Linked DNA regions of Tribolium castaneum. The protein of the gene in region 2 interacts with the protein of the main gene of each other region in a biochemical or structural test. Links are inferred from orthologs where the notes say so. Each region holds a gene or a part of one and is shown on either strand. Other genes may lie near its edges.

Evidence for each region. The genes of interacting proteins can lie anywhere in the genome.
Region 1: of the proteins of partitioning defective 3 homolog B (region 2) and aPKC, one has a biochemical effect on the other in vitro, tested with the Drosophila melanogaster proteins (2 studies listed by BioGRID). The link is inferred for Tribolium castaneum from reciprocal best matches to the Drosophila melanogaster genes baz and aPKC.

Annotation. Positions count from the first base shown.
Region 1 is NC_087399.1:9,784,622-9,791,478, reverse strand, and holds part of aPKC (atypical protein kinase C), read right to left. Parts: intron 3,706-6,857; coding exon 3,655-3,705; intron 3,363-3,654; coding exon 3,277-3,362; intron 3,227-3,276; coding exon 2,971-3,226; intron 1-2,970. UniProt on the Drosophila melanogaster protein: Serine/threonine protein kinase which is required for apico-basal cell polarity in the germ line as well as in epithelial and neural precursor cells, for epithelial planar cell polarity and for cell proliferation.
Region 2 is NC_087395.1:16,313,767-16,319,386, forward strand, and holds part of partitioning defective 3 homolog B, read right to left. Parts: intron 3,305-5,620; coding exon 3,157-3,304; intron 3,107-3,156; coding exon 2,511-3,106; intron 2,467-2,510; coding exon 2,360-2,466; intron 2,184-2,359; coding exon 2,100-2,183; intron 78-2,099; coding exon 1-77.

The DNA.
Region 1 (6,857 bases), on a different chromosome or scaffold from region 2:
TAGTTTTTCGTGGTATAAAGTGTTTATTGTTGGAACTTGAAAGTGGATATAAAGTGAAAAATATTTAAATTTTAATTACAAAGTGTTATCAAACAGTTGTCTAATTAAAGATTATAAGTAATGGATCACAGCGAACACAAAGTTTGGCTCAAGAAACCAATAAATTAGTGAAGTGTTATGAATTTTAGGTTAGAATTTTCCACTGAAAAAATCATGAAATGCTGCGGTAAATCAACAAAACTACAATTAAGATTAACAACTTCTAGAATACACTTAAACGTAAATTATGCCAAAAGGTAGGCTTTTCAATGTCTTTGTAATAATTTTCCAATAAAGAAAGTGAACCAAACAATCATTCGTTATTCGTGTTTTCCTCGTCATCTCTCATTTGTCAACATAAGTTTCTTGCTTCAAAGATGCAATAATCATTCCGCATAGGTAATGTAATAATTGTGAAGCCCCAAAATTCGTACAACGCTCAAAATATCCGAATAAACGTTTTCCCGCCATTTATGGTTACTGTTTTCGACCTAGCTCAGTGGCGCCCCCAACGGTAATTTTACTTCCGAATAGGTTCTAACTTATGTCAATTTATCTGTGAAAATTGCGTCGATATTCCAGCGCCTACTACGATTTTCTAAAAATGATAAACTACAAATTACAATAACTCGATTTTTTCAAACGCAACACTATATATTTTCTTGCACCACTGCATGGCATTTTTAAGAGCTTTTAGAAGATATAAGGTTTGTGGGGTCTATTTGTAAAAATGACGTAAGTTAAAAACTATAACAGTTAATTCTATAAAACCCGAGTACATGATATCGACATTTTAGTCACGATTTCAAAAAAAAATTATAAAAAATTGAGATTTCCATTAAAAAAAAACAGAACTTAGTTAGGTATTTTATTTTGAAATACACTGTATGCAGACTAAAATATTTTTAGAACGTGTCTTATTGTAAGACCTATCGTTTAAAAAAAATAAATTGATAGCTTGAATAGAAAAAACGTTATAGAGCGTGCACGCACCTCTGGGTCTGTATGAATATACTGCAACCATTGCAAGCTCTAAAAAAATCAGAAATTCTTTAATTTCTGAAGCTAAAGACATACCTAGTGACATAATTAACGTGTATACATCTTCACAGAACCTCTATAAGTTGTTTAACCTCATAATTAAACATTTAGTATAATCTTCAAACAAATATAACAAAAATGTTATATTACACCAATATAAGACCCTTTTACTGAAATAAAATCGACCACCACAAATTTAGCTTGTTTTAGTCAATATGTTTCTAAAACTATAAGACTGCAACAAGCAAATAGACGTCTAAAGTAGGATTTTCATTAAATGATTTACTGACATCATACCTATCTCATAAAATAATTTCACGTTTGACTCTTTTTCACCGTCTAGTCGCACCCTTATTTTTAATTAATTTGGATGCATTACGAATGTTATTTCCCTAGAAAAATTACTATTTGTGGATGACTTAAAACTGTTCTTGGAAATTCCCTGTAGATATACCTGATTACGAATGTTTAATGATTTAATACAACTCAATGAATAAGCGGAAAATAATAGTTTAAGTCTAAATACAGATAAATGTTATGTTATGACTTGCTTCCGTAAAGAAACAAATCTGTCAGACAACAGATTTTATAAATCCTATGAGATGTTAGGTTTCATTTATACAGAGTGTCTCAAAAGTGGCGAATTCTGAGTTCAGAATATTGTAGAAAATTACTTCAGTAGTCCAAACGTAGAAAAAAAATTAAGATTGGGGGCTTCCCCACAAAAATACACTGCTTTGAAGATCCTTAATTTTGGTAATTTCCGTTTGATTTTTAAGAAAAATTACGAAGATTTAAGATTATTTTACTTCAAAATTCAGCAAATTTTTCGAAAAATTGTTTTACATTATTATTTTTCATAATCATCTACACCATAAATATCAGCTCATAGTAAAATTTTGCAACAGCGCATTTAAATTTTTTGGAGTGAAATACATCACAAATTGAGAGTTTCTATTGGCTTATCTTAGTTCAAAACGATTTAGTTTAACACATAATTCTTTTCTTTTACAGAAACTGTCAATTTGTGTTTTATTTTTCACTCTGAAAAATTCTAAGTGCACCTGAAGTGCGCCTCCAAACCAATGTATCTTTGCGGAAAAGCACCAAATCTTTAATTTGTTTCTGCATTTGGACTAGTGAAATGATTCTCTACAACGCTGTAGATTTCATCAAAATGGATGTACTAATTTTATTCTTTAATGCGCTAATTAGGTCTGAATTAGAGTATGCCAATTTGATTTGGAACCCCATCTAATAACCTTGCTAACCTTGAAGCTATACAACATAATTTTTTAAAATTTCTCTATTTTCCCTAACATCTGATACGATAGTGTCGGTGTGTAACCAACCACCTAGAGGCTACAATCATACTTTATTACTAATAAGCTGATTTAACAGTATCTCATTAGACCTCCCTCGTTCAGTCTGAACAAAATTCCCTTTCATGTCCCTACAATTATTTTCTTGATGTAGCCTAACTTGTTAGGTACTCCCTTGTGGAGCAATGACCGCGAAACTAATGAAATTAATGATGGTCTACAAGTTATTATAACAAATTTTAGAAATAGCTGACTTTGTCACTTTTTCTTATTAATAAAAATAATTAATAATTATTCATAAAAAGTATGAAAAAATTGCAACTAAAAAGTGAGGTTATGTTGTGTTCATAATAAACTCAAAAAAGCCAAAATTTCGCCACTTGTCCCCCATTTTTGGCAATTCAATAATACTTGAAACCCAATTGTAGAAAAAATCTGCAAAACAAAATTATGCAATTACGGAAAAACTAACAAAAAAGTGAGGTTATGTTTCAGTAAAAAATATCCAAATTCTGTAGTTTCTCGTAGCCTAATTTTGGTAGAAATGGGGCAAAAAGTAACTTTTTACCTGTCACATCTGGTGGCGGTTCGGGGTACTCCCTGTCGCGTATTTCCGATATAATTTCACTATTGGAGGTTACTGTTACTAAAGGCGATTCCCCGTTGTGTTCTTCTCTGATAGACTGTTCAACTAGGTCGACTGTACAGGGGATTTGTACTAGTTTGTGGCATTTTTTATGGACGAGGAGCTTGCATTGAATGCACTTGAAACCTTGTCGCCCCAAACCCCAAATCCGGTCATTGCAAAATGCACAAAAGGCTCTCTAAACAATTAATTATTTTTCCTATAGTTTTGACCAAATATTCAACTTACTCGATTGAAACGTTTGGCCTGAAAGATGTGTCCATTGACACGGTAAAGTTTCCTCCAACGACGAGCACCCCTCCTGTAAATACTCCCTGAAAAGAGTAATCGGTTCAAAACCACATAAAGCAAGGTTTTTTTATACCAAATTTTGCCTTATGGTGCCGTTTACATATCAAAATGTATTGCAAGATTCGTAGCATTGTTATTTCGCAAACGCCATTTTCAAATCGAGAAACACTGACAAAAAATTATCAGTAACATCGAGATAATGTTTGAAAATCGCGCCTTTGTAATAAAACGAATTAACCGTAGGCGTTGCCAACATATTTTTTGTGTTGGCGAACTTGTAACACCACCCCCGCTATAATTACGAATAATACTTACTGTCCTCCCCTTGACAGGGCATTCCGGGCTGTGGCGGCACATTCGGGAAAACTGTGGACAAAATAGACTCAAATAAATAATTAGTCTCTTCCATGATTGTCGAATAATTGGAGTAAAATCGAATCGGCGAGAATTAGCCAATAGATAAGATAAAACTAATCAGTAGAGCGAGTCAGGTAGCACAACAAAATAACTAAAATTCGCCCAATTGGTGACACCACGTTCGAGGGGTTGCAAATCACCCCTCTGGCCAATAATGAAAAAAATAAATAAATTCGTGTTTTGTGACGAACCTCCGGGGAACGCGGCCGCTAAAACCGAGGACGCGTCATAGCTCAAAGTCGGATGAAGGGAGTAGAGAATCGCAGCATCGGACATCCCTTTCCATATTTTAAAATTGCCCCACCAGGGTTTACCGTCCCCCATGTTAAAATTCACGTAACGCGACCCATCTTCACAACACGCACGTTACTATTTCAGGTGAAACTATAGATAAACGATTATCTCGGACAAATGCGATAACGTTGTTTGAATTTCGGTGGGAGGAAGTTCTGAATGGAATTCGTTATTAATGTTAATATCGCGGCATAAAAGTTGAAAATTCGCCATATGGCCGTATCGATTGTCTCAAGATTGAGGTCAAACGGCCGATAACTTGTGGTGGTTTTTCCCGGATTCGGGAAATCAACAGACAGGTGCTTGTTCGGAAGCCGGAGCTTTTGTTTCCTGATTAGAAAATCTATAATTGCGGATAATCGAGAGAAGGACGCTCAAAAAACGGAAATTGTGGAAGAGGGGGAGCTTTACTGCCTAATTGCGACCCTTAATCGACGGCGCGGTGACGCGTAATCTTAAATTAAATCTACGATAAAGCGAAGAGATTGGCATGAGTGCATAATATTTACAAAAACATTTTGTATTTTTTGCATAAATCGTAATCGAGTTGAATATAATACCTCAAGAATCAGTTAAGAAGTCGTTTATTTCCTCACTTTGAAATGATATGGTCAAATATTTCTCAGAGGGTTATTTTACGACCCCAGTGGTTTCATTATGTGCAGACCGCGTCACAGCTTGTGAAAGATATCATTATACTTTGAAAAATAACTTTATGGCTCTTTTTATAGTATCTTTAAAAATTACATTGTATTTTGCGAAAATAGGGGAACTGCTCGTGTATTTTATGATACAATTATTTTTGCAGATAAGCGTAGGTATTTTTTGCCAAAAAATTCTGGCGTTTGTTCCATAAAGTTTCTAATAATTTTCGAAAAGTCGTTGAAGTAGAATAAATTCCTCAAAAGGCCAGAGGCAGATTTTTGGGTTAAACCGCGTTGTTTTCGATAGTCAGGAAGATGCCTAAGAATGCTCATTAAGTATTATTTCATTTATTACTATTTATATGTTATTATGTTATTTAATTATTTATTTATGTTTTTATATTATGAACTTCTGTTGGATTTTCTTGGCGATTAACAAAAATTCAGTTTTATACCCGACACACTAAACTTTTTTTCTAACACAACATGTTTTAACCGCAATGTGGTCATCCTCAGGAGAAAATATAAATTGTGTCGTTATGCTCATCTGGAGATTTTGGTTATGTCGAATGTAAAACTGTTTTTATACGTTATATATTTTTATGTATCACTATTTTATTTATTATTTTAGTTTTGTGACATCCTTATCAAGGGTTTTAAAGGGTGCTCAAAAACTGGCGCACCGATTCAATGGTACGTTTTTTAAAAAATATGAAGCTACAAATTTATTTTGTTAACTTCTTCAATTTTCATTATTTTTTGATATTTTTGTGATTCACATTAAATGTTCTTTAACACAGTGATAAGTAATTATTTTTAAATTTAATATCAATCTTTAGCAGTTTCTTAAATTAAAAAAAAATTGATTTCATCAAAAAATAGAAATTTTTAGATGTGCTAATAGTCTCAGGTACGAATTAAGATCGTCCTGGACCCATCTGTTTACCGGATGAAACTTATTTTTTATCAAATATAATATGCAAAGAAATATATTGCGAATGGGTTGCCTAAAAATATGTTCAAAACTATGATTAAGGGAGCAAAAAATAGTTAAATTTTAGCCATTTTCCGCAGTTATTTACAACCGTTTTATGAAACATTTTTAAAAATATTTTACTGGAAACATTCTTCCACTCGGGCTCTAGAGAAAAAAGTCTTTTAAAATGCAGTCATTGTTTTATTTAATTCAGAAAAAAATTCTGAAAATTGAAAAAAAATCTTGTACTCTGAAAATTTTTTCCAACCAGTAAAACTAATTTTATCATATACAAACATTGTTTGTTTTTTCTTGAAAAAAACGGCAAACTTTTAATACCTATTACGATCCCACATTCATTTATAGACACTTTGTACTTCTATTATAGTACAATCCATTCACGATTAATTATCAGATAAGTTTTTTTTGACAGATATATCAAACACTAAATTCCATTCTACATCATAATCAATAATTTAAATCTGAATTTACCAAAAATTTGTTTCTTAATCCGAAAATGCTAAAAAAACCAAAATTTCTACTTAAATTTCCAGTACTACCACCTCTCTGTTGACATAGGATTTCACAATGCATTATTGGTAATATAGGTCAGTGGCGCCTTTTTTTGAAAAAACGTTAACTTCTAAAAAAAACCGTGTCTCATGTTAGGAACTATTAAGTCATAATATAATACGCATCTTTTCTATAAACAAACCAAATAAAAATTGTAATCTATGATTTCTCATAAAAGAAACAGAAGGTTCAATGTTTGATTTTTAAAATCCGAAAAAAAATATTTGAGGGACTATGACTAAGTTTTAATTACGATATAATATAATAAACATTTGGTGATTTTTTTATTCTTATTGGTGGAAAATTAATTAAAAAAATTTATCAATGTACCTATAAGAGAAAACGTTGCATTATTCTCCTACACGTAAAGAAAAAATGGCACTATCTGTGAAATCATTCACAAATAATGGGCAACTTTTCTTTACTTGTACAGGACGCTCAAAAACTGGGGTACCAACAAATGGAAAATAGAACAAATCTTAAATTAAAAAAGTAAAATTGGATCGACAAACCTATTTTGTTAACTTCTTCAGTTTTCATTATTTTTTTAATGTTTTTATGTTTTGCATTAAATAATCTATCCAGAACACATGATGAATAATTATTTTTATTCC
Region 2 (5,620 bases):
CGTAGAAGTTCGACACGGGACGAAGCTGGTTGTCGGTGCGGGTCTGGCGCTGGGAGTGGTACTGGTGCTGCTTTCGACTGATAAAAAATGTGACGTCACTAATTTAAAATTACAAACACTTTTTTTAAGTGTAAGGCCAAAGAGGACAAAACTTAAAATCTAAAAGACAAATATTTATTTAATTATTACAGTATTTGCCGCGAGTGTAAGAAAAGCGGAAATACAGAGTGATCTAAAGAGACTGTTTCACACTGCAACTAAATACAGTTTTCCAATACTTTTTAATTGAAGCTATTCTTTTGTAATCAAAAGATAAATGGTTTAAACACATTCGACAGTGGATAGCTATTGAACTCATATTAGTAGGATATGAAGCGTAAACTATTTCTTCTATTGTTTTTTTTGAAAAGACGTAGTTTGATCTACATGTCATATAAATAAATTGTAGTACCACCAGTGGAAATAAAATGTTTGTTAAAAAAAAGAAAACATCGATAGACTGAGTCAATAGTCGGTTAGTTCTGAATTTTTTAAATATGCAACCAACAATACTGATTTAATTAATGTTTTGAAAAATCAAACAAAGTATCCAAGTAGGAAGTGCAATTAGTATTTTTGGTTGCATCTTAGGACATGTCAGAAATAACCCACTATTGACTCACCCTGTATACGCAAGTGATAATCTGAACTATGTCACAGGAACTGTTGTATTATTTGGTATCTTATTTTTTTTCGAAGTCTTCAACAATTCTAAGACCGAAGGTAAGTTTGTATCTTGCTATTTCATGTATTTTATTTGAATTTTTTACACTGACGGCAATCAGTCAATCTCCAGTAACTATAAAATTTATATTTTGCGCATTTTCATTTTAGGAAAATTTATTTTTGAACTCCTACTGAAAGCACAACAGAAAGGTAGCATAGTTACCTTTTTCGTTTTTCTTTTTGTGAATGAAGTTATTAAACAGGGGTGTCCAAATGATCAAGAAAATAGCATTATATTAGAAAGTGAAGTAAGCCCAAAAATCATAGTACTTCGGAATGAAAGAATAAAGAATACAGAGACTAATATTACACAGCAAGAAAAATCTAGTCAGCTGTGAATACACAATTACTTAGCCCATCCAAAAACTTCTGAAAAAAAAAAGGACCAACAAAAGAAGATACGAATTGAAAAAGACATCGAAAGAGGAAATTAAACAACAGAAATCTGTATAATTAAAAATTATTTGCTCAATCTGCCTAAAAGAAATACAAGGAAGGTTATTCCTAACATTTGTGAAGTATGAACACTTCTTTCACAACCGTTGTGTTCCCAGATGTCACAAGGAACACATTATCGATGATGAAAATCAAGACTTACAGCATCCCTATTATAGGGATGACAATAGTGAATGTTGGCTGGATAAGTTAATATATGTCGATGAGGAAGAAATAGAAGCAAAAAGTGATAAAACTAACGAAGAAGAAAAAAAAACTGATAAAGGACAAAATGACTAAGAGTGATCGTGATCGAGATGATTTATATGACGTGAATTATTAATTAAGCATTAGATTTGATTTGGAACTTTGTTGGAAATTAAACAAACTTTGATTTTACTTCTACTTTTGTCATGCAAATCAAGGCATCTCGGGACAGGTCCATAACTATAATTTTTCCACTTAATAAATAAAAATGCTGAGGAAAAAAATTGAATGCAGGTTGTAACATTCTATAATAATTCGCATTTTCTGCACATTTCAATCTTTACTTTGGAATTACGCAATTATCTATATCTTTATTCTGAAGGCGGTAATGATTTTTCCAGTTGAGAATTTTGCTTAACTGTTCAATAACTGTGCACTTTACCCTAATAAACACGTTGGATGTAGAAAAACAATGTTTTTGTGATCAGACATGGCGCCATCTGTTGGGTAAAAACAGGTCCCCTTTGGCCTTAAAACTCGAGGACTAGGTTGCATGCATCACATTTTCAGACGTTATTCAAGTGTTAATTTTTTGGAACAAGAGTCACGTTACACAATCACCGGCAAGCGTGCATGCAATTTAAAAAATTAGTCGCAAAGCTCAAGAGTGTGTAAAGGGAAAAAGTGCATACCTTTCTTCCTCCACCTTTAACCTTTGCTGTTGAACTTGCAGACGCATCTGAACTATCTGACTGTCAGATAGTGGATCTTTACGGCTGCGTGGACAAAATACAATTATGACAATGACAACACATAAACATCATAACATAAAAAACAGAACGTTATGTCATGCAACAAATCAGAGTTAGTAACAAATGAAATGTGCACAACGTAGACACTGAGAGGGGCCCAATATTTCCATAACCTTTGACTTATTTTGATGGGGGCTTACCTTAGGTGGTTTTGCAGCTCGTTGTAGTTGACGTAGTGGGTGAAAGGGACCGAATCGGTGATTCCCGACCGGCTGCCAGGCCTGCCACCGTACTCCCCGAAATTCCCCTAAAAAAATTATTATTTTTTGCTTTTTCTCCAGAGTTACATACTTGTTGTCCATAGATCGGCTCTCTCTCATCCGACTGGTAGTAAGTGTGTCTTACTCTATGGTCGTGAATTTTCCGCCTCTGCCCTTGCTGATCAACGGTGACGTGATTCCGGTACTTGATAGGTGGCGCCACCGAATTCTCCGGAATCACTTGGACCTGTTCAGCATGTCGGTGCACAAAACCGTGCCTCTGATACAACGGCTCTCTCTGCTGTTGCATCATTTGTTGCACACGTTGTTGCTGCTGCTGTTGATGTTGTTGTTGTTGTTGTTCCTGGGTAGAATTCTCATGTTGTTGTTGTTGCTGTTGGTAATTCTGTTCCGCTTGTTGTTGATTGTTATTAACATTGGGGTCAAACTCATTGGTCGGATGGTAGTGTTGTATATCAATGTTGGCAAATTCCATTTTCCGGTGTTTTCCAAACCGGAACATTGAACCGATGCCTTTCAACAAACTCGGTTTCTTTTTTCCCGCCTTGTGTTTACTGTCAAGGGCCGCATTAAGGGAGGATTGACGTGGGGCCCCTCTCACGTTGTTAAAACCGTCAACTTCGCGCTCTTCCATTGGGCCGTCGAGCAACCAGTGTTTCTTTGCGCCTGAAAATCAACCAATTAGAAAAACAAAAGGGTAATTTGATATGAATTACTTATTTCCGATTGGTGGTTCGGGTCGACGATGTGTTTGTCCACAGCGGCCCTAAAGCTCTCCTCACAGCCCCGTCCTCGTATCACTTTAAGGGCGCCCGAAGGGCCCCTGTAGCTGTAAGCCGGGTCGCCCTCTTCCTGCATCTGAATCTGAAAAAAATGCAAATCAGAGTTGGATCACAATTGAAGATTGAATTAAACTCAAAAAAATTAAAAGAAAAAACTTCAACTCTCGCTCGCAGCCACAAAAAATGTGGTAACACAATTGGGGTCCTCTATAACTATAAAAATTACTAAATTGTTGGTAAACCAATAAACAAGCTATAGAGAATATTAATGCATAATTAATAATAATAACAATAATAATAATAATAATAATACGAATAATAGTAACAATAAAAATAATAAAAAAGGGCCTTTATTGAATAAATTTAAACAATAAGAACAGATGGGAAAGCGAAGTCTAGCTTGAAGTTATTCAACTTAACCTCGAAGAAAAAAATGAAATTAATAAAAAATATATAAAAAATTAAAATAAACTTTATAAATAATCTTGAAATGAAAAAATACTTAAAAACTAAAAGAAAAACCATTGTCAGTCTCTTAATAAGTAAGAAATTAGAAAGAATTCTTTAAGATGAGAGGCAAAAAATGATCAGAAAAAAACTTTTGCATTTATTATCAACAAACAGCCAATTCAGTTGAGCAAACTTAATTATTAAAAACAAATTTTTAGTTTTACTCTTTATTGTAAACACTGACTCCAGAATAAAAAATTTCCATGTATGTATATGTTGTATCTCTAACGTAAATTTTTTTAGAATTATTTCTTTATGATTGAGTGTTTCTAACGTAGAATGACCGGCGGAATCCAAATTTGCAAGAATCAGATCGCTACGACTAACCGTTCGGCAGATATCGTCAAAAATATGGTCTCGTTACAAAAATGTCAACTAAACTTACATCATCATCTGTTAATTTTTTGGAATTATTTTTTTATAATTAAGTGTTCCTAACGTAGAATGACCGGCGGAATCCAAATTTGCAAGAACCAGATCGCCACGACTAACCGTTCGGAAGATATCGTCAAAAATATGATTTCGTTACAAAAATGTCTCAACTAAGCTTACATCATTATATGTAAATTTTTGGAAATTATTTCTTTATGATTGAGTGTTTCTAACGTAAAATGACCGGCGGAATACAAATTTGCAAAAATCAAGTCGCTACGACTAACCGTTCGGAAAATATCGTCAAAAATATAGCCTCGTTACAAAAAGTCTCAACTAAACTTACGTCATAATCTGTCAATTTTTTGGAGTTAGTTTCTTATTATTCGGAAGTAAAATTATCGTTGGGGGCGCCACTGAACTAGGTCGAAAACAGTAACCATAAATAGCGGGAAAATGTTTATTCGGATATTTTGAGCGTTGTACGAATTTTGAGGCTTCCCAATTATTGCATTGCCTATGCGGAATGACTATTGTGTCTTTGGTGCAAGAAACAAATGTTGACAAATTAGTGATGACGAGGAAAACACGAATAAGGAATGACTGTTTAGTTCACTTTCTTTATTGGAAAATTATTACAAAGACATTGAAAAGCCTACATTTTGGAACAATTTATGCTTAAATGAATCAGCAGTTGTTAATCTTAATTGTAGTTTTGTAGACTTACCAAAGTATTTCATGAGTTTGTCAGTGGAAAATTCTAACCTAAAATTCACACACTTTACTAATTTATTGGTTTCTTGAGCCCAACTTTGTGTTCACTGTGATCCATTATTTACAGTCTGCAATTAGACAACTGTTTAATAACACTTTGTAATCAAATTTTAATTTTTTTTCACTTTTTATCCACTTTCAAATTCCAACAATTAACACTTTATACCGCAGACCAAGATCAAAACTAGTATTTACCACCACGTACAAAAGTACGTGATACTCTCTAATATAAGTATATAACACTATAGACGCAAAATTGTTAAACAATTCGTTAAATGTCAGTTAAATGTGGAATTACGAAAATTTCGTTACTGTTTTCAACATAGTTCAAAAGTCATCACCAGAGGGCGTCTAGTTAATTTTATTTCCGAATTGAGTTCAAACTATGTTATATGTGAATGATCAGATAGAGAGATGTCGATGTTAAGAATAAGCGAAAAATAAATGCAGACAAATGACATGAAAAAAGCTTATCAATTTTTAACCAACCTAGGTCTTTAATTTTTTTCTGATACATGATAATCATGCTTCTTCAAACCAAAAATAAAGCGGTAGCAATTGTTTTGAATTTTTTGCAGACGACAGATGTTTGTTGTTTGTCATAATAATGAGTCCATAATTTATAAACGAAAGCACAAGGGTTGAAAGTTTTTTCCGAAGTTTAAAATTTAAGATATTATAATTTAAAGTACAGAAGTTCGAGAGCAACATTAACATTTTTTAAAAACAGATGTGAGATAAC